4 linked regions of the Yarrowia lipolytica genome follow. The protein of the gene in region 1 purifies or fractionates together with the protein of each later gene. This does not show direct contact. Links are inferred from orthologs where the notes say so. Each region holds a gene or a part of one and is shown on either strand. Other genes may lie near its edges. The genes, in order: YALI1_B16194g, YALI1_D13126g, YALI1_D32424g and YALI1_E02317g.

The links.
Region 2: the proteins of YALI1_B16194g (region 1) and YALI1_D13126g purify together in Saccharomyces cerevisiae (affinity purification with mass spectrometry; 5 studies listed by BioGRID). This does not show direct contact. The link is inferred for Yarrowia lipolytica from reciprocal best matches to the Saccharomyces cerevisiae genes YTM1 and NOC3.
Region 3: the proteins of YALI1_B16194g (region 1) and YALI1_D32424g purify together in Saccharomyces cerevisiae (affinity purification with mass spectrometry; 6 studies listed by BioGRID). This does not show direct contact. The link is inferred for Yarrowia lipolytica from reciprocal best matches to the Saccharomyces cerevisiae genes YTM1 and DBP10.
Region 4: the proteins of YALI1_B16194g (region 1) and YALI1_E02317g purify together in Saccharomyces cerevisiae (affinity purification with mass spectrometry; 6 studies listed by BioGRID). This does not show direct contact. The link is inferred for Yarrowia lipolytica from reciprocal best matches to the Saccharomyces cerevisiae genes YTM1 and HAS1.

What each region holds. Positions count from the first base shown.
Region 1 is NC_090771.1:1,617,232-1,621,371, reverse strand, and holds YALI1_B16194g (uncharacterized protein), read left to right. Parts: upstream 1-1,971; coding exon 1,972-3,507; downstream 3,508-4,140. Other genes in the region: YALI1_B16239g (uncharacterized protein), read left to right, coding at 1-1,200. UniProt on the Saccharomyces cerevisiae protein: Component of the NOP7 complex, which is required for maturation of the 25S and 5.8S ribosomal RNAs and formation of the 60S ribosome.
Region 2 is NC_090773.1:1,310,490-1,315,217, forward strand, and holds YALI1_D13126g (uncharacterized protein), read left to right. Parts: upstream 1-2,154; coding exon 2,155-4,212; downstream 4,213-4,728. Other genes in the region: YALI1_D13108g (uncharacterized protein), read left to right, coding at 320-1,009; YALI1_D13124g (uncharacterized protein), read right to left, coding at 1,181-1,978. UniProt on the Saccharomyces cerevisiae protein: Required for synthesis of 60S ribosomal subunits and the transport of pre-ribosomes from the nucleoplasm to the cytoplasm. Also required for initiation of DNA replication.
Region 3 is NC_090773.1:3,238,844-3,243,902, reverse strand, and holds YALI1_D32424g (uncharacterized protein), read left to right. Parts: upstream 1-1,530; coding exon 1,531-4,311; downstream 4,312-5,059. Other genes in the region: YALI1_D32435g (uncharacterized protein), read right to left, coding at 1-481. UniProt on the Saccharomyces cerevisiae protein: ATP-binding RNA helicase involved in the biogenesis of 60S ribosomal subunits and is required for the normal formation of 25S and 5.8S rRNAs.
Region 4 is NC_090774.1:229,862-234,232, reverse strand, and holds YALI1_E02317g (uncharacterized protein), read right to left. Parts: upstream 2,475-4,371; coding exon 657-2,474; downstream 1-656. Other genes in the region: YALI1_E02348g (uncharacterized protein), read left to right, coding at 1-366; YALI1_E02305g (uncharacterized protein), read left to right, coding at 3,530-3,675, 3,727-3,817; YALI1_E02290g (uncharacterized protein), read right to left, coding at 3,969-4,371. UniProt on the Saccharomyces cerevisiae protein: ATP-dependent RNA helicase involved in 40S ribosomal subunit biogenesis. Required for the processing and cleavage of 35S pre-rRNA at sites A0, A1, and A2, leading to mature 18S rRNA.

The sequences.
Region 1 (4,140 bases):
CGATCATCGACTTCTCAGTTTGACGCTGAAGACGAGTGGGACGAGCGAGATGAGGAGGATGGAGACTTTGACGACGATTCAGATGAGGACTCAGACGATGACTCAGACGCGCTCTTCATGTCTGTTAGAAAGCACGCCAAGGCCAAGTCTGTGGAATCTCCTCTCTCTGAGGAGGAAGAGCGACTTGTGCGACACATTGAGGCCGAAGACCAGGCTGTGGAGGCCCGTGTGGCTGCCGGAATCGTCAGTAGCAATGTACCCGACGTGGTGTCTTCCAATGACTCGGATCACGTGAGATCTGACACTTCCACTGAGAACAAGTCCTTTTCACGGTACTTTGACCGTACTCTCAGCATGGCATCTTGGGACGATGTTCTGGCTTACATTTACAGACCCAAGCGAGCTACTGTGCCCAACAAGCGGTCTTCTGGAGCTCCTCCTTCAGTCAGATCCACAAGATCGCCTCTTTCGGACCATCCCATCACGTCTTCGGGAGACGAGTCCGACCGAACCATTTCTGCACATGCCCCTTCCGGCGGTGCCGGTCGAGGCCGGTCTCATTCGTCCATCTCGCGAATGTGGCGATACCTGAAGAACTCGTCTGCCGATGAGGCCACCCGGTCTCGATCTCGAGATGCAAACGGAGCCGGTGCTCCCCCTGCCTACGAAGAAATCTTCCCTGGCCATGGGGTTGTCCACGACAAGAAGGTTGTGCAGATGGCCGCTGCTTCTGCTGCCGAGAACTCGTCTGGGCCTGTTGGAGCCTCATCTTCAGCAGTTGCGTCCACTTCTGCGGCTGCCGCTGTGGTGCCCTCCCCACTAGCCCCCATTGTGGAGGACGAGGAGCAGCTGGTAGAGGCCTGGAGACGACAGCGACGATCCATGGCTAACGATCGCATGTTATTTGCCTTCTGGCTGCCTGTGCTGCTCATGGCTATTGGTTATATGGTCATCAAGGCGTTTGGTCTGTTCCCCGACCAGGTCTCTGCCGTTGAGTCTGTGGCTGAGACTGTGGGTGTCCACTGCCGTGGAGCAGTTGCCAAGCTATGGTTCAAGCAGTACCCTGTTCACCGAGGCCAGCCACTCAAGGACACCTGTTCATTTGAGCCCAACAGTCTGGTAGAGTCAGCTCTTCGTCAGATGAATGGGTGGTCCGACCGGGAGGTTCCCATTCATCAAGCCCAGGCCCAGGCTGCATGAACACGAACAAGCGGAAGAAGTCTGTGCAAACGCGAACGCCTGTATAATTGTATCATCTAATTAATTTATTGTATTATGATCATTTAAATGAGAAACTACTGTTTTTTAAAGTCCATCTTTGTATCTCACTGTCAAGGTCTCAGTTACAGTAAGTTTAGTGTCCACAGTACAGTGTCCCAGGCATCGGTCTCGGGATGGACCCTGGAACTGTAAAAGTGTCAGATGGGTTTGGTAGAGTGACGCTGAAGCGACGTCGGGGATCATACTGGCAGGGCTAAGGGATGCGATGAACGAACAATTTAATAAGATCGACTGTCCAATTATTATGATTAGGGTGATTTATAAGCCCTTCCATATATCCCTTCTACTGTGCTACCTACACTCTATCAACGTCTGATCAGTAATTATCAAGACGCAACTCATCTCTGCTTCAAAGTTTGCTATCTACGAATGCTTGTACTGTATGGAGTGTGTACTGTGTAAAATATTGAGTAGTGATTAAGAGCTCCAAACAGGGGTTGAGGCACACAAAGGGTTGGGTAGCGTCGACTTTGCCCCTCACACTAAGAACACAACAGCAACTACAACATTACAACACTTCCCCTCTCTCCTCTCTGGATCCAACCTCAGACCCTCCCAGGCCCATGTCTCCTCCCAACCACGGCTACAAATTTAAACTCGGCATACAGGAAAAAAAATAATGCAGCTGGCAAAACAAATCACCATACCGTTATTATCACCACACACAACCCATCACACAACTTTACCGAGATGACCAACCAAGAATCGCAGTCGGTCAAGGTGGTCTTCGTGACCCGGGACGAGACCCTGCAGCCCGAGGCTCCCCTGCCTCCCGTCATGGTCCCTACTTCCCTCAAGCGTCTGGGTCTGTCTGAAATCGTCAACCAGCTGCTGGACACTGAGACTCCTGTTCCTCTTGATTTCCTCATTGTGAAGGCTACTGCCGGCGATGGAGGAGCTTCGATTCTCGACGAGGAGTCTGCCTCTTCTTCCTCGGTGCTTCTACGACCAGGAGCCTCCCTGGAGTCTTTCCTTGCTGACAACGGTTTGTCTTCCGAAGTCAGTCTGTCGATCGAGTACATTCGATCTGTGCTGCCTCCATCATTTCTGGCCTCTTTCTCCAACCCCGACTGGGTCGCTGCTGTCGATATCAACGCCCGGTGGACTGGCGATCTGAAACCCGTCATCGCCTCGGGATCTTACGACGGAGTCGTGCGTCTGTGGGACCACTCGGGTCATGTGACCGGCCAGCTTGTGGGCCACAACTCCGCCGCCAAGGCTGTGCGATGGATCTCTAATGACCAGCTCGTTTCTGGAGGTTCCGACCGACTTTTGTACCTATGGAACCCCGACGGAAAGAAGTACCGACGAAAGGAACCTGGACAGGTGGGCAAGAAGGAGCTCAACTACGACAGTGAGGAGGACAGTGATGAGGAGATGCTCGATGAGCTTCCAGCCGCCTCTACCGTGACCCCTATGGCAGCTCTACATGGACATACCGCACCCATCAACGATCTTGCTGTTCACGCCAAGACCGGAAAGATCATCTCCGCCTCCGCAGACGGATCCGTGGGTCTGTGGTCTACCGACTACAATGACATGCCGGCAATTGAGCCCCATACCGCTGCCGCTGGCGGTCTGACTTCCACTTCTGCACAGAAGCGACGAAAGCTCGCCAACTCCGGCTCTGGAGCCACCGGTCTGGGAGCTGCTCGTCAGCGAGGTCCTCTGGCAGTCATGGGCGGCCACTCCGCCGCCGTTTCGGCCGTCGCATTCCATCATTCCGACCCCACAGTCGCCTACTCTGTGTCTCTGGATCACACCATCAAAACCTGGGATCTCGCCACCGCCGAGGCTGTCCAGAGCAACGCCGGATCCCCCGATCCTTCGGTCGATACCCGATCCACCTCCTTTTCGCTTCTTTCCCTTTGCACCCTGCCCCAGGGTCTCATTGCCTGCGGCTCTTCAGCCCGTCACATTACCCTGCACGACCCCCGAGTAACTGCACAGGTGGCAACTCAGGCCAAGCTGGTGGGCCACACCAACTTCGTGTCGTCGCTGTCGCGAGGACCCGAATCCAACCCCTTCCTGCTGGCTTCAGGATCTCACGATGGAACTGTCCGAATATGGGATGTTCGAACCACCAAGTCTCTGCACGTGATCCACCGAGAGACTCTGACAGAGAACAATGCCGTGTTTGGCGTGGACTGGAAACAAAACCTGGGTATTGTCTCTGGTGGCCAGGACAACAAGATCCAGATTAATAACAACCCCCAGAGCGCCTAAGGCACCCCAGGGGTTTTTGCATCATGTACGTATAGGTAATTGTAGATATAGAGGAGAGGGTGTGTCAGTAGGCTACTTGTAATATTGTGATAGAGTGGAACAGGTTGACTTCGTAAATGAGTTATCCTATGTGCTCGATCTATACTGTAACTACTGTAGCTACAAGAGTGCACGTCGCGTGGTACAACTCAAGTACAAGTACAAACAACGCTAGGTTAATAGTTCATTACCGGAAGTGACAGGCACAAGTTCGGGGCAACTAAAACAGGCACTCGGGTACAAGTACAATTACATTATATTGCTGTTGTTGTTATTGCCTTTGTTTCCTGTCTTTTTTTTTTCTTCCTTTTTTTTTGTTTTTTTCTTATCACTGCTGAATTGGTCCTCCATGGTGTGATACAAATACACCTGTACGTACAGTACTCGTACTTGTACGGGCAAATTCACCAACACATATCGACAAGAATCATGAAGATTTTTCTTCGTCAAACAAACCAAATCAGACATTCTTTTATTGATGGACCTCCTGATGACACCTTCCTTGCGGGGTTCCTTCACTTACTGTAAATCTGATTTATCATCTACACTCTTGAAAAAACACTCTTGAATGACGTTAGCTAAGTTTTGACGTAC
Region 2 (4,728 bases), on another chromosome or scaffold:
AAAAAAAGCTGATTTTCAAATAAAAAAAGAAAATTGCCTTCGACCAGATTTGAACTGATGATCTCAGCATTACTAGTGCTGCGCCTTACCACTTGGCCACGAAGGCGAGAGATACTTTCTTCCCCAAGGTGGAAATTACCAACCTTATTCACTGTCACGTGACTATAGATTGCAAAGAATGTTTGGGGAGCCGATTTGTGCGCAAGGAGACGGTAAATGGCACTTTACTGATAGTTTTTGTAATGAAGAGAACGTCAACTCTCTAATACCCGTAAAATCTCATTCCATCAGCAACCGTTACCTGTAGATATGAGTCCTGATGACGATGCCATTTTCCAGTCGCAAAAATAAGGTTCATCACTCCGTCTTAATTACACCCTCGAATTTCATCTCGGCCATGCATCCCATAGTGCCTCAACCTGGCTCTGTGGCGGACAGTCAACGCAACACAAATATGGTGAAGCCGCGCTCCAAGGTGGAAAAGCCCTCCAGCAAGAAAAAAACGTCCGGCAAGGATAAATCCAAATCCGAGGAGGTGATGAAGGTGGAGCAACATGAGGGAGATGAGACGGAAGAACAGGTTGAAGAGAAGGAGAAATCCGAGGAGGTGGAGAAGTCTCCACAAGTGAACGTCAAAGAAGAAGACACTCCACAGGAAGCTCTCAACTCACCCGAGGTGTCTCAATCTTCGGAACTGGCCGAAAACACAGACTACATTGCTCTGACTTCTGCGCTGTCCATGCTTACGAGACAGCAAGAGACGAGCAAAAGAGACTTGGTCAAACTGTCGCAAATGAGACAGCAGGCGGTGGAGCAACCCGAGCAGTTTTTGGAAAAGGTCAAGAGCGGACAAGTGTCTTTCCCCAAGGCTCTCTATGTCACCATGGTTCCTTCAATCGACTGGAACCAGTACGACTTTGATAACCGAGAGTTGGACGCTGTTATCGGGCGTCAGAGAAAGGAGTCAGAAAAGGGTGTTGTTGAAGAGGTTCCGTTGTTTAACCAGTAGTGGACTGTACACCAAGAGGCTACAGTACTCATCAAACAACAATTTATGACACAGTACCTCCAGTGTCTTGGTATTTATAGGTAAAATGTATTATTATTGTATTATTATTGTAGCACTACTACCGTACAAGAATTACATTCCGTATTGTATGCAATCTATTATCTAGTTAGGTCACTCCACAGTGGCGTTGGAAAAGTCCACGTTATAGGTGGGATCATCCTTTCGAGAAATCTTTCGGTACTCGTCAATAACCTTTTGTCGCTCGGCCTCGAGAATGAGACGCCGGGCGTTGTCTCCGGAAGCCTTGGGGACGTTAGGAAGCAGCTTTCGAGGCAGATTCAGCACAGGGGGAGCGTCAGCCACCTCTCCAAACTTGGCCTTCTTGTTCTTCTTTTCTAGCACGGCCCAAGGATCGGGCGACTTATCTCTCTGCTTCTTGGGGAAGAACAGGTCGTTCTTGAGCCGTTTCTCATCCATCCCGTCTCCCTCCTCTGCAGCCTCATCGGCCTTCTTGTAGTCCATCTCGTTCTGCAGAACCCGGTTCTTCTGCTTCTGAATGTTCTTCTTGTCAAGCCGTGTGAGCTCCTTGGCGTTTTCCGACTTGCGGGGCTTCGCATTGGGCAGCGCTTCGTCAACTCTTCGAGAGAAGTCCGCCCACGACTCACCGGGTTTCATTTGCAGCTCGGAGTTCTCATGCGAAATGTGTTTGTTGGTAGGGTACAGTTCCTTCTTTTGCTTCTTTCGGCCCCTCTCCTCCTCCTGGCTCTGGGCAGTTCGCTCCTGGCGGGCCATCATTCGCTTGAAGCTCTTGGGGGTATCGTCATCGTGACTGTCGTTGTAGTTGTCCTTGGCGAACTTCCCCTTCTTCTTGGTGAACTTGCTCTTCTTTCGGTTAGAGAAGTCCTCGGGGTCCTGGTCCAGCGGTACCACCTCTCGTTTGAGCACGTTTCTCGGTCGTTTTCGGGGCATTTGTGTATGGTGATGAGTATATCTGAAGTATCTTGGAACTACAGTGATGCTGGAATAAACTTGCACTGCATGAAATTATTTTTCTGACGACAAACCTTATTCAAGAAATTTACAGACATGCTGCTACGAGGATATTGGTGATATAACAACGCCATACACAGACACACAAACACACAATGGTGAAACGATCGCGAGACGTGGCCAAGTTTGAAAAGCGGGCCAAGGCTCGGCAGGAGCAGGACAGCAAGCTTGCGCAATCATGGCAGTACATCAAAGACTCTGACAACGAGGAGGATGAGGACTATGGACCTCGATCTTTCAAGGAGGAAGAATCTCTCGGTGAAATGCTGCCTGTGCGAGGCGAAGACGGCCAGATCAAGCGGGTGATGCGCAAGAAGGGCGACAAAATCAGCAAGCGAAAGCTGGAGGAGCAAGCTGAGAGACAGCGACAGGAGGAAGAGGAGGAGGCAGCTCGAGAGGCAGCAGAGGCAGCAGCAGCAGAACAGGCAGCCAAGGAGGCCGCCGAGAAGGAAGAGGAGGACGACATTGGCGATTCTGATTTCGAGGAGGAAGACGAGGTCACTGGAGAGGCCCGATTTCGAAAGGCCCAGGCCGAGATTGCAGAACTGGCCGACCAGCTCAACGAGGACGCCGAGGAGAACATTCACTGTCTGCGCAAGATTCGGGAGCTCATGGGTCGAAAGCAGTCATTCCGGGTGGTACAACTGACGATTCTGTCGCTGGTTCCTATTTTCCAGTCGATCATTCCTGGTTACAAAATCAGACCCTTAACCGAGGCCGAAAAGCGAGAAAAGGTGTCTAAGGAGGTCAAGAGACTACGAAACTTCGAGACGTCGCTGCTGCAGAACTACAAGGCGTATCTAGACTACATTAGCAAGTTTTCCAAGAAGGCCCGAGGCTCCACTGAAGGCACCATGAAACGAATTTTGGGAGACTCGTGCGTGGTGGCAGCCTGCGAACTTCTCAAGACGTCTGCGTACTTCAACTTCAGATCTGACCTCGTGGCGATTGTGGTGAACCGTGTGGGACAGAAGCCCTACGACGCCAACTACTTCAAGGCGTTGTCCACCATCGAGTCTCTGTTTGAGGACGACTTCGAGGGTTCTGCTGTGAAGGAGATTGTCATGTCCTTGTCCAAGATGATCCGTGCAAAGAAGTATAGAATTGACGAGTCGTTGCTCAACTCACTGCTTAAACTGCGGTTGCTGACAGAGCTCGACGCCAGAGCTTCCCAGAGACACGTGGAGTCTCAACAAGCACCGACAGCCAAGGTGCGAAAGAAGGACCGAGTGCACCTGACCAAGAAGCAGCGAAAAACGCTCAAGGAGAAGAAGGAGATCGACGAGGAGATGCTAAAGGCAGAGATGGCGGTATCGACCGAGGAGCGAGAGAAGATCCAGGGAGAGACGCTCAAAATCGTCTTTGTTCTGTACTTTAACATTCTCAAGGAACGACCACAGCATCTCATGGCAGCCACTCTGGAGGGTCTGGCCAAATTTTCGCATCTCATCAACGCCGACTTCTTTGGCGATCTGCTGGAGGTGCTACGGGAGCTCATCACCGAGCGTCAAATCCGATACACCGACGACGGAAAGCAAGAGTTCTTGGAAACCTCTACCCGAGAGGCTCTTCTGTGTATTGTCACTGCATTCGTGCTGCTTGGAGGCCAGGTGGGCGAGTCCATGAACCTCGATCTGACCTTCTTCATCAACCACTTCTACTCGTCACTCTACGCTCTGGGTCTCAACCCCGACATTGAGCTGTCACACAAGTCTCTTCGTCTTGATGATCCCAACACCAACGAGTCCGCCAGCAATAAGCGGTCCAAAATCAACGTGGCCACAGAGATGGAGATGGTGGTGAGGTCGTTCGAGGGTATTTTCTTGCAGCAGAAGCACGTGTCTCGGCTGCGAGTCCAGGCTTTTGCGAAGAGACTGGCTACCATCTGTCTCCAGCTACCCGAAAAGTCGTGCATGGCCGGTCTCAAGATTCTCGACCGGCTCAATAAGAAGTTCACCGTTATGACCGCTCTGTACTCGTCCGACGACCGAATCACCAACGGAGTGTACCGAATGGACGTGGACCAACCCGACCATGCCAACCCCGAAGCATCTACCATCTGGGAGACAGTGTTGCTGGAGAAACACTTCTCGCCAGACATTGCCAAGGCCGCCAAACTGGTGCCCCGAAACGTCAAGAAGAACAAGCATTAGAGAGGATTATAGAAATGTATATTTGGACAACAGGAATAGCTAGTGAGTGACTGAGTGTAAACAGTGTGTTATAGATGAGTAAATCTACCATACGATTCATCTGAATGTATAGGCAAAGCTCTATAGGAGCTACAGTTACTCAGCAACTGCACCTGCGTTTGATTATGCCGTATCTGACAATGACGCAATCAATAGTATCCATTATGGAAAATGAGGATCCAGTAACTATGTATTCATTCAGACATAACACAACATACGATAAGACGTGGAAAGGGGTCATAGAGAGAGACCCCCACCTTTCCGATGGACATAGTCTATGGGAAATGCAGGTCAGGATGCTTTCAGATGTTTTGAGAACTCTCAAACAACTGTAGTGAGTACACAGGAATGAAAGTAGTTGTAATATCTTCTGTACTGTGGTAGCTGAGTTCAGAGCTCTCTCTTGACATTAGTAGGTTCGTATAACAAACGTCGGTCGATCTGCGTCAGTACCTCGATTATGCTATTCAAATGCAG
Region 3 (5,059 bases), on another chromosome or scaffold:
CGGGGACACTCACATACTTCAACTTGTCGGCCACTCCGGGAGCCAGATTGTAGTCTCTAGTGATGTCTGTTTCGCCAGCCTTTTGCGACTCGAGAATTCCGGAGATGGTGGCCGGGTTCAGGAGCGTTCGGGGCTTGCTAAAGTCCCCAGACTCGGCCTCAGCGGCCTCATCCAGGGCCTCGCGAGCCTTCAGAGCCTCCAAAACAGGATTGCTCTTGCTGTATTGGACCTCAGACTCGGTCAGTTTGACGGCCCCGAGATCCATGAGCTGCCGCGCGAAATCTCGGTCCCCGCCGTCCCTGACAATGTCCTCGTTCTTGGTCTGCGAAGCCATGGGCATGGGAGCCGGTTGCGACCGATTGGGGTCGGCCGTCTCTTGGCGAATGTGCTGATGTTTGGTTTTCACGGACAGATCGATGGCGCGCTTGCCGGCCTCGGCTGCGGGCTGGAAACGCTTCGCCTTACTTGCGGAAGAGCCCATGGTGGTTGTGGAGGTCGAGGAGGTTGTTGATCAGACTGTGATCTGGACAGTGGTGATCTGGAAATGATGGGAGTGAATGTGTTTGTGGGTTCGATTCGAGGTTGGGGGCATTTTGGAGAATAATGAATACTGTCTGGAATGAGCTGGGAGCAGGCTTAATTTGATCATACTGGTTTGAATAGAGAAACTGTTAATTTATCAGACAAATTTGACCACTATTAGACATTCTATAAGACACGTTTAAGACCGGTGGCGAATGAGAAATCATTGAATCTGCCCAAGCTATAGTAAAACAATATCAAATTGAGAAAATAATGATATGATTGGAATGGTGGCGTTTGTGGTTGACCATTGGTACTAGTTTTAGTCTTAGTTTTTATTGATTTAATCGGACTTTCAGACTAGTTCAAGCAACGATCACTTATTGTCTCCTATGCTCAGAGTCTCTATACAAGCACTTAGCTAGCCATGGGGAAGAGCTACAAGAAAATGGAGTTCACCATTGGATTTCTCTTGATCTAAGCTATCCACTGATTCTATTACTTTTTCTACATTTTCAAAATTACTCATTTTACGAACAGTATGAGGTCTGAATTGAGAATGGGTTTAATGAGCGTTCTAGTTGAGCTGAAACATACTAGAAGATACCAATGGACTCCTCTTCCTTCCAGAAATCCATTTCAACCACCCGTTTTTCCTCAATATCTCTTGCGATGTCCATTTTCGCCAACTAAGCAACTGTTCAGGTGGTTGCACGTCTATCTCGGGTTCTACCGGGTCAAAATTTGATTAAGAAAATACACTTAGACTGTTTCATGTTGTATCTATTCTTTCAAATGGTTCAATTTCTCGCTCTCTTCAAGTTCGCATGTTGCAAGTAATGTCGTGCTCAAACTCGAACTGACGAGGTTTCGATTTTTCTTGAAAATATATATATATATATATTTAAAGTTATCCTCTAATTTTTTTTCCAAACCTTATCTCAATAAATTCTACCTGGAATCTATCCCTATCTCACAGCCTACTACATACCACACTTCAGCACGAAAATGTCCGACAGTGAGGTTGAATACGACATTGCGGGGTCTTTGAATCCGGGGGTGGATTCGGAAGACGACTATTCGTCCGGATCAGAGTCCGACAGCGAGATTCCCGACATTATTGAGGACAGTGAAGATGAGACCGGGCCCCAGCAGGGCGAACCGGGCACCATGACTTTCCCCAATCTGGAACTGTCCGATGACGATGACGACGACGACGATGACGACGAGGGCAGAAAGAAGAAGAAGAAAAAGACGGACGACTCGGTGGAAAGCTACTTTGGAGCACCGCAAACGGGCAAAAAAAGCTCGGGCAGTTTTGCTGGTCTGGGTTTGTCGCAGTTGGTGCTTAAAAATATTGCACGAAAGGGGTTCAAGCAGCCGACGCCGATCCAGCGAAAGACGATTCCGCTGGTTCTGGAGGGCAAAGACGTGGTGGGAATGGCCCGAACCGGAAGTGGCAAGACAGCGGCGTTTGTGCTGCCCATGTTGGAGAAGCTCAAGGTCCACAGCGCCAAGGTGGGCGCGCGGGCGGTGATTCTGTCGCCGTCACGTGAGCTAGCGCTGCAGACGCTCAAGGTGGTCAAGGACTTTTCTGCCGGCACCGATCTGCGTCTGGCCATGTTGGTTGGAGGCGATTCGCTGGAGGAGCAGTTCAAAATGATGATGTCCAATCCAGACATTATTATCGCCACCCCAGGCCGGTTTCTGCATCTCAAGGTGGAGATGGAGCTGTCGTTGGCGTCGGTGGAGTACATTTGTTTCGACGAGGCCGACCGGCTGTTCGAGCTGGGTTTTGGTGAGCAGATGAACGAGCTGTTAGCGTCGTTGCCCAGCAACAGACAGACTCTGCTGTTTTCCGCCACGCTTCCCAAGACGCTGGTGGAGTTTGCCAAGGCTGGTCTTCACGACCCGATTCTGGTTCGTCTGGATGCCGAGACCAAGTTGCCAGAGCATTTGGAAATGACGTTTTTTGCCGTCAAGGAGAACCAGCGAGACGCCTGCTTGGCCTTCATTCTCAAGGAGGTGATCCAGATGCCGTTTGCAACGCCGGAGCAGCTCAAAGAGCTCGAGCGACTGGATGAACGGGCCATTGACGACGGAGAACGGGATGAGGACCGGAAACAAAAACGGCCCAAGTTCAAGAAAGAACGGCTGCCCCCTGCGCACCAATTGCCCTCGGAAAAGTCGACCATCGTCTTCTGTCCCACCAAGCATCATGTGGAGTATGTCATTGTCTTGCTTCAAACTCTGGGGTACGCGGTTTCGTACATTTACGGCACGTTGGACCAGCATGCTCGTAAGAACCAGCTGTATCGGTTCCGCACGGGCAAAACGTCTATCTTGGTGGTCACTGATGTGGCTGCGCGAGGTATTGATGTGCCTGTTCTGGCCAATGTTATCAATTATTCGCTTCCTCCGTCCCCCAAGGTGTTTATCCATCGTGTGGGTCGAACAGCTCGAGCCGGCAACCGCGGATGGGCTTATTCCATCATCAAGGACAACGACATTCCGTATCTGTTGGATCTGGAGGTGTTTTTGGGCCGCAAGCTACTGACTCCTCGGTTGTTCAAGCAACAGAATCCCGACCCTTCGGCCGAGCCCGATTACGTCAACACTCTGACAATTGGAGCTCCTCCGCGCCAGGCGCTCGAAATCCACGGCGAGGAGCTCGCCCAGATGGTCAAGGACTCGTACGAGCTGCAGCAGCTGTCGGAGGTTGCGGTCAAGGGCGAGCGAATGTACAACAAGACCAAGGGAAGTGCTTCTCAGGAGTCGGCCAAGCGGTCAAAGCAGATTATGGCACTGGGATGGGACGACCATCATCTCATGTTTGGCGAGGATGGCGAGTCTGCCAAGGACGCGTTGTTGGCACGATTGGGCCAGAAGCGCATTCGAGAAACGGTGTTTGAGTTCCGCAAGAGCAAAACCACCTCTGGCGCCGAGATGATGGCCACTCGTCGGGCCCAGCTGGCTCCGATCCAGCGCCGGGCCGCGGAAAAGCGTGCCATTCAGGAAAAGGAGCGGCTGGCGGGTCTGGTTCATTCGCAGGATGCGGAGATTGCCCGGTCTACCGAGGAAGATATGGCTACCGAGGCGGATCTCACCGGGTTCACTACGGAGGAGGATCTTCGGGCGGCCAAGAAGGCGCAAAAGTCCAAGAAGCGCTCCTTCAGAGACTCGGAGAACTTCATGTCCCACTACGCACCCACCAACGACGATAAGGGCTATGCTGTGGGCAACTTTGCCGGGGCTGCGTCCAATGCCACGTTTGATCTCATCAACGACGGCTCGGAAATGCAGCAGAAACAGGGCATGAAGTGGGACAAGAAGAAGGGTAAGTTCATCAACGCGGGCTCGGAGGGTGGCAAGAAGTTCATTCGAGGTGAGGGAGGCCAGCGAATCGCCGCGTCGTTCCGGTCGGGCCGATTCGATAAGTGGAAGGCCGCCCACAAGGTCGGCAATCTCAAGGTTGGCGCTCTGGAGGAGTCTGGGCCTGCCACTAAGCGGGTTTTGTCTGCGCGAGAGTTCAAACACAACAAAAACGAAGCCCCCAAACGAGCCGACAAGTACCGAGACGATTTCCACAAGCAAAAGACCAAGGTCGCCGCTGCCAAGGAAGACGGACGAATCCAGAAACCCCAGCCCAAGAGCGAGCTCAAGTCCACCGCCGATGTTCGAAAGAGCCGAATCCTGGCCGAGAAGCGCAAGCAGAAGAATGCCCGGCCGAGTCGGGGTGGCAGGGGTGGAGGTCGTGGAGGTCGTGGAGGAGGTCGTGGAGGGCGTTAAGAGGAGTCTTCGGAGGATTGGGGTTGATCGAGGAGGTCGCTGGTTAGGTGGTTTTTTGTTTGGTCACGTGAAAAGTCACGTGGGTCTTCTGGAGGGCGTCGTTTAGTGACTCTTTTGGGGACTTCTATGATGAGTGTTTGACCTCACATGTCCTCATGCTCGCAGTTGATCTCACATGTACATCTGACACCACCACCACCACCAACCACCAATCTCGACTCGCCGAAGTTTCTACACACTCTTGAAGAACAAACCCACCCATCTACTACCATGTCACGAGAACATTTTGTTTCGTCTCCGTTCCATCTCCTCATCACGAGACTGGAATATTTCCGAGCCACGGCCCATTGCACTATAGAAAATAAAACTAGAATATCACGTTTATAAAAAAAACCCAGAATTGTTCTCAAGTAATTCCCAACAAATGACCAAGTAACGTTGACTTCGATAGGATAAGAAATGCTCCACAACTCGAGATTTTGTATGATAAAAATTACCAGAAATATCATTTTTGTCATCAAATCCTTCATTATCTATCGTCTGGTATCCTTTTTGTGGCTTCAGCATCTCTGGAACACCAAATTACATACATACCCCCAGTGCACTTCAACTATTTCTCAACTATTTCCCAACTATTCCAAACCTGATTCCATACTGACTTGAACTCCTGCGTGTCCAAATCCATGATATAGCTGCGCGTGCTAAGTTTCGACTCTCGACCGCACGTCATTTCTCCTCCAGTAAAAAT
Region 4 (4,371 bases), on another chromosome or scaffold:
CTCACAGGTGCCTGGGCCGCATTCTGCACCTCTGTGTGTCTCCAGAGCTTCTGGGGAGTGTGTCGGAACCTTACCGCCATGGAGGGTCTCGGAAGAAAACAGGGAGACATGGTTCTAGTCAACTTCAGATATGAAGGCAAGAGAATCATCCAACCTCTGCGAGAAGAGGACCCGCTGCCGTTCGACCAAGGCTTTGCAAAGAACTGGAGACAGGTTTTTGGAACCAACCCACTCATTTGGTTCCTTCCCTTTCCAGTCGTACCTGCTGCAGAAGACTACTTTTCCAATGCTTACGGACAGAAGTTCCTTGAGCGCATTCCAGCCAGGTGGCTGGAGGGTGACGGACGGGAAATGGCAGCGGTTTAGGACCTTGAAGGACAATTATAATCGCATAATACGGCTACACGCATCATCGGGCTGGCCAACCGAACATTTGAGATCTCATATTAAACACTAACATCAATGCATTGGTATATCTAAGTATGTATACATACTAATGTACAGGTACTCCTTACAAATACTGGAACCAGTACTGACAAGTAATTCTCAGCTAAGCGTATTTGAATTGTACAGATATACTTCTATTGCCATGCACCACTCATAATTCGTTCTAATGTCGTTTTATTACTTTCCTTATCCACTATCTATTATGCAATCTACCGTGTGAACTTCTTTCCGCCGGGTCCACCTCTCTTCTTGTGGTTGTCCTTACCCTTGATGCTCTTGGCGCCCTTACCGGAAGCTCCAATGGAAATGTTCACCTTGGGAGGCACATTGAAACCGAAGGACTTGGCCACCTTGACCAGATCGAGCTTGTCGATCTGGTAGACGGTCTTGAGGTGGTGCGAGGCGTATGCTTGCAGATAGGCTCGATATCCGTCCTTGGCAGAGGTGTTGAGCCAGTAGTTGGACGAGATGAGCTTCTCCAGCTGGCTCTGCACGTTGGCAATCTTCTTGTTGGGGAACTCGTACTCGTTGAGAGGCACCTTGGCAGCCTTGAGGTATCGCAGGAAGCCAAGCTCGGAGGGGGTCAGGAACATGATGGACTTTCCGGAGGCAGAACCTCGGGCAGTTCGTCCGACTCGGTGAATGTAGTCTCGGGGATCATCCGGAGGATCGAACTGGATAATCCAGTCAACCTTGGGAATATCCAGACCTCGTGCAGCCACATCAGTGCAGATTAGAACTCCCTGCTTGGCGTTAATGAACTCGAAGAAAGTGTTGGTTCGTTTCTGCTGCTTCTGCTTGCCGTGCAGATCGAGAACGGGCAGATCGATGTAGTTGAGCAGCTCTCCGTAGAACTTGACCGAGTTACAAGACGAAAGGAAGACAATGATCTTCTTGCCTGCGTTTCGCTTCAGGAAGGAGAACAGCAGCAGGAACCGCTTGTCAGAATCGCACACAACGTAGCCCTGCTCGAGACCCTCGGCGGTGGAGCTGACGTTGTGTTCGTCGACGTTAAGGTAGAGGGGACCCTTCTTGAGCGAAATTCGGGCCAGATCCTCGACCTTGGTGGTCTGTGTGGCTGAGAAGAGCATGGACTGTCGCTCCTTGGGGAGAATCTTGATAATCTCCTTCATTTCTTGCTCGAAACCGATCTCGAGAATTCGGTCGGCCTCATCGATAATAAGAGCCTTGAGGTTCTTGAAGACAAAGCCCTGGGAGTTCTGCAGATGATCGAGAAGTCGACCGGGGGTACACACCAGCAGGTTGACTCCCTTGTTGAGCTTCTCTTCCTCCTGTCGTCGGTTATTTCCACCAATCACAATGCCAAGGGTCTGGGAGTGGTTAGCCATGAGATCTCGAGCCACTCCGTAGATCTGGAGGGCCAGCTCTCGGGTGGGAGACACCACAATCACACCAGTACCGTTTCGAGGCTTGAACTTGAGTTTCCGCAGCATCTCGATGGCGGGAATCAGGAATGCCAGAGTCTTACCGGATCCGGTCTTGGCAGCTCCCAAAACATCTCGGCCAGCAAGCAGAGGAGGGATGGTCTTCTCCTGGACTGGAGTCATGGTCTCAAATCCCATGTCCTTCAGACTCTGCATGGTGTTCTCAGACAGAGGAATTGTGCTGAATGGCTTTCGCTCGGCGTCTGAGGCAATGTGGACAACCTCAGCGTCAGCGGGCGCAGTAGTGACAACGGCAGTGGACTCCTCTTCCTCGAGATCAGAGCCCTCTCCGTCATCTTCCTCCTCGATTTCGACGTCCTTTTCATCGTCATCGCTCATCTCGGAGTCCTCATTTCCGTTGGTCTCCTCCTCGTCTTCCTCCTCAACGTCTCCCTTCTCAAGGAGACCCTCAACCTCATCGAACTCATCATCGAGCTCATCAACCTCGTCCTTGGACTTGGAGGGCTTGGCGGACTTGGCGGGCTTGGACGAGGGCTTCTCGACCTTGGCCTTCTTATCGGCCTTGCCCTTCACCACGCTTCGGGCTTTCTTTTCGACTTTTTCCTTCTTGGTCAGACCCATGATTGTGCAATTAGGAGTGTGTTCCAATTTTTTACGCCTTTCATGCAATATCGAGAAAAATTTCGAACTGTAAAACTGTAACCTTATCTGCTCATAACATGTGTTGTATGGTGGCAATGTACATGCAGCACTACAGTACTCATAGCATTACGAACAAAACTCGCCTATTAGTGAATAACAGTCCAATTCAAAATATTGAGATTCGAATCTATATAAAACGTACAAGTGTCCTACTCAGTTGTGTAGGACTCAAATCACCATTGATCGTAGGTGTACATACTGTAGTATGCTTCGCTAGTCGTCATATAGTTAGCTGTGGCACCACACAATCCCCTAATCAAGAGGAGTATCAAGCCCGAGATCGGAAGACTTCTCAATGATAGGACTGGACTTGAGCTCAAACTTGGCTCCAGCATACTCTTTGGCCAGGTTGAGTCCAAGAGAGCCATGGACAGTATTGTTGTCATCGACAATGTACAGACCGTCGAGACCCTCAATCTTTACCAGAGAAGAAGCGGCGTGGTTGTCAAGGTATTCATTGACCTCTGCCTGGGTCTGGAACGTCTTGTTGCCTCGAGGAGTATAGCCCAACTGCTGGAGGCTCATTTTGGGATGGAAGTTGGAAAGCACTTTATGTTTGAATGTCCCTAGATCAGCTTTGTCTTTCGAAGAGTGTGACAAGAGCTGCTAGAGATGATTGTGAAATGTCGAAGACGGTTTAGACGGTTGACAAGGATCCCCACACATTTGCCACGCATTGTTGCTGTAGTTATGTTACCCTTACCCTTGATTACAGTTCGATAAGGTACGTTGAACGAGGATCTATTGGTATGGTTGAGGTCACGGGAGTGGTTGAGGGAGTTTCTAGTCCGGTACACTTTATAATTTTCGGCCCGTGATTACCATTTGACAGGATTTGGTGACAGATCACCTCAACTACTCTCTCTGTTCGTATGGCCTCCACTATGCAGCATTCATGCATGAACGTTCATCTAAACACCGTTTTAAACATTCTGAGACTCGCCTTCAAACACGCCTCGCACACAACTTCAGCCATGACAACAAGAGACCGTCAAATGACCCAGCTCAAGTCGCAGCTCGCGCAGCTTGAGGCTAATCTGGTTGACATGAGCAACCTCATGGAACGGACCACAGAACAAGCATTGCACATCAGAGAACTCGGCATTCTTCACGCGTCAATGTGAGTATTTGAGACATATGAAGGAGCCCACAAGCCAATGCTAACCACGAGATTCATGTCAGCACATGCCGCTTTCGAAAATGAGACGTTTCAGGCTGGCCAGGCAGAGGAAAAGATGATGGAGTCTGAGTATGAGGAGTAACTAAAGCTATTACGCGTCTCAACACAGTCAACCCACCCCATATTTATACAGTGTCGGAAAAGCACACCCAAGCATCCATGTTAATATATATACAAATAATAATTACTTATGGTACTATATACACTTTGGTTTTAAGTAGTCTGTAGGACCTTTATGCGCGGAAGATTTTACTGGCTCGGTTTCCACCCTTCTCCTTGCCTCGTTGTTGGAACTTGACCATCCACGCTCGCATTCGTTCACTTTCCTTCTGATTGTACGTGTCAAACGCCTCAGGAGTAGCTGCGTCGAGCATGACCTTACCTTTTTTTCCGCTGACCCACTCGTTGATCCACCGCAGAGCAGTTCCAGCGTCCTGGTTAGGAGTTGACCGCCACTTGCGCCGCAGTGCAACAAGAATATCGTTGATATCGTTGGTGGGAGGACACAGATCACGGTAACTCTTGGGATCATCTCTGTTGAGTGCGTACAAGAGGTAGTCAGCCTGAACGATAGGATCAACAAGACTCTCCTTGATGCACTTGAGAAGGGCGAGCTTGATCATAGTCTCACTGTTG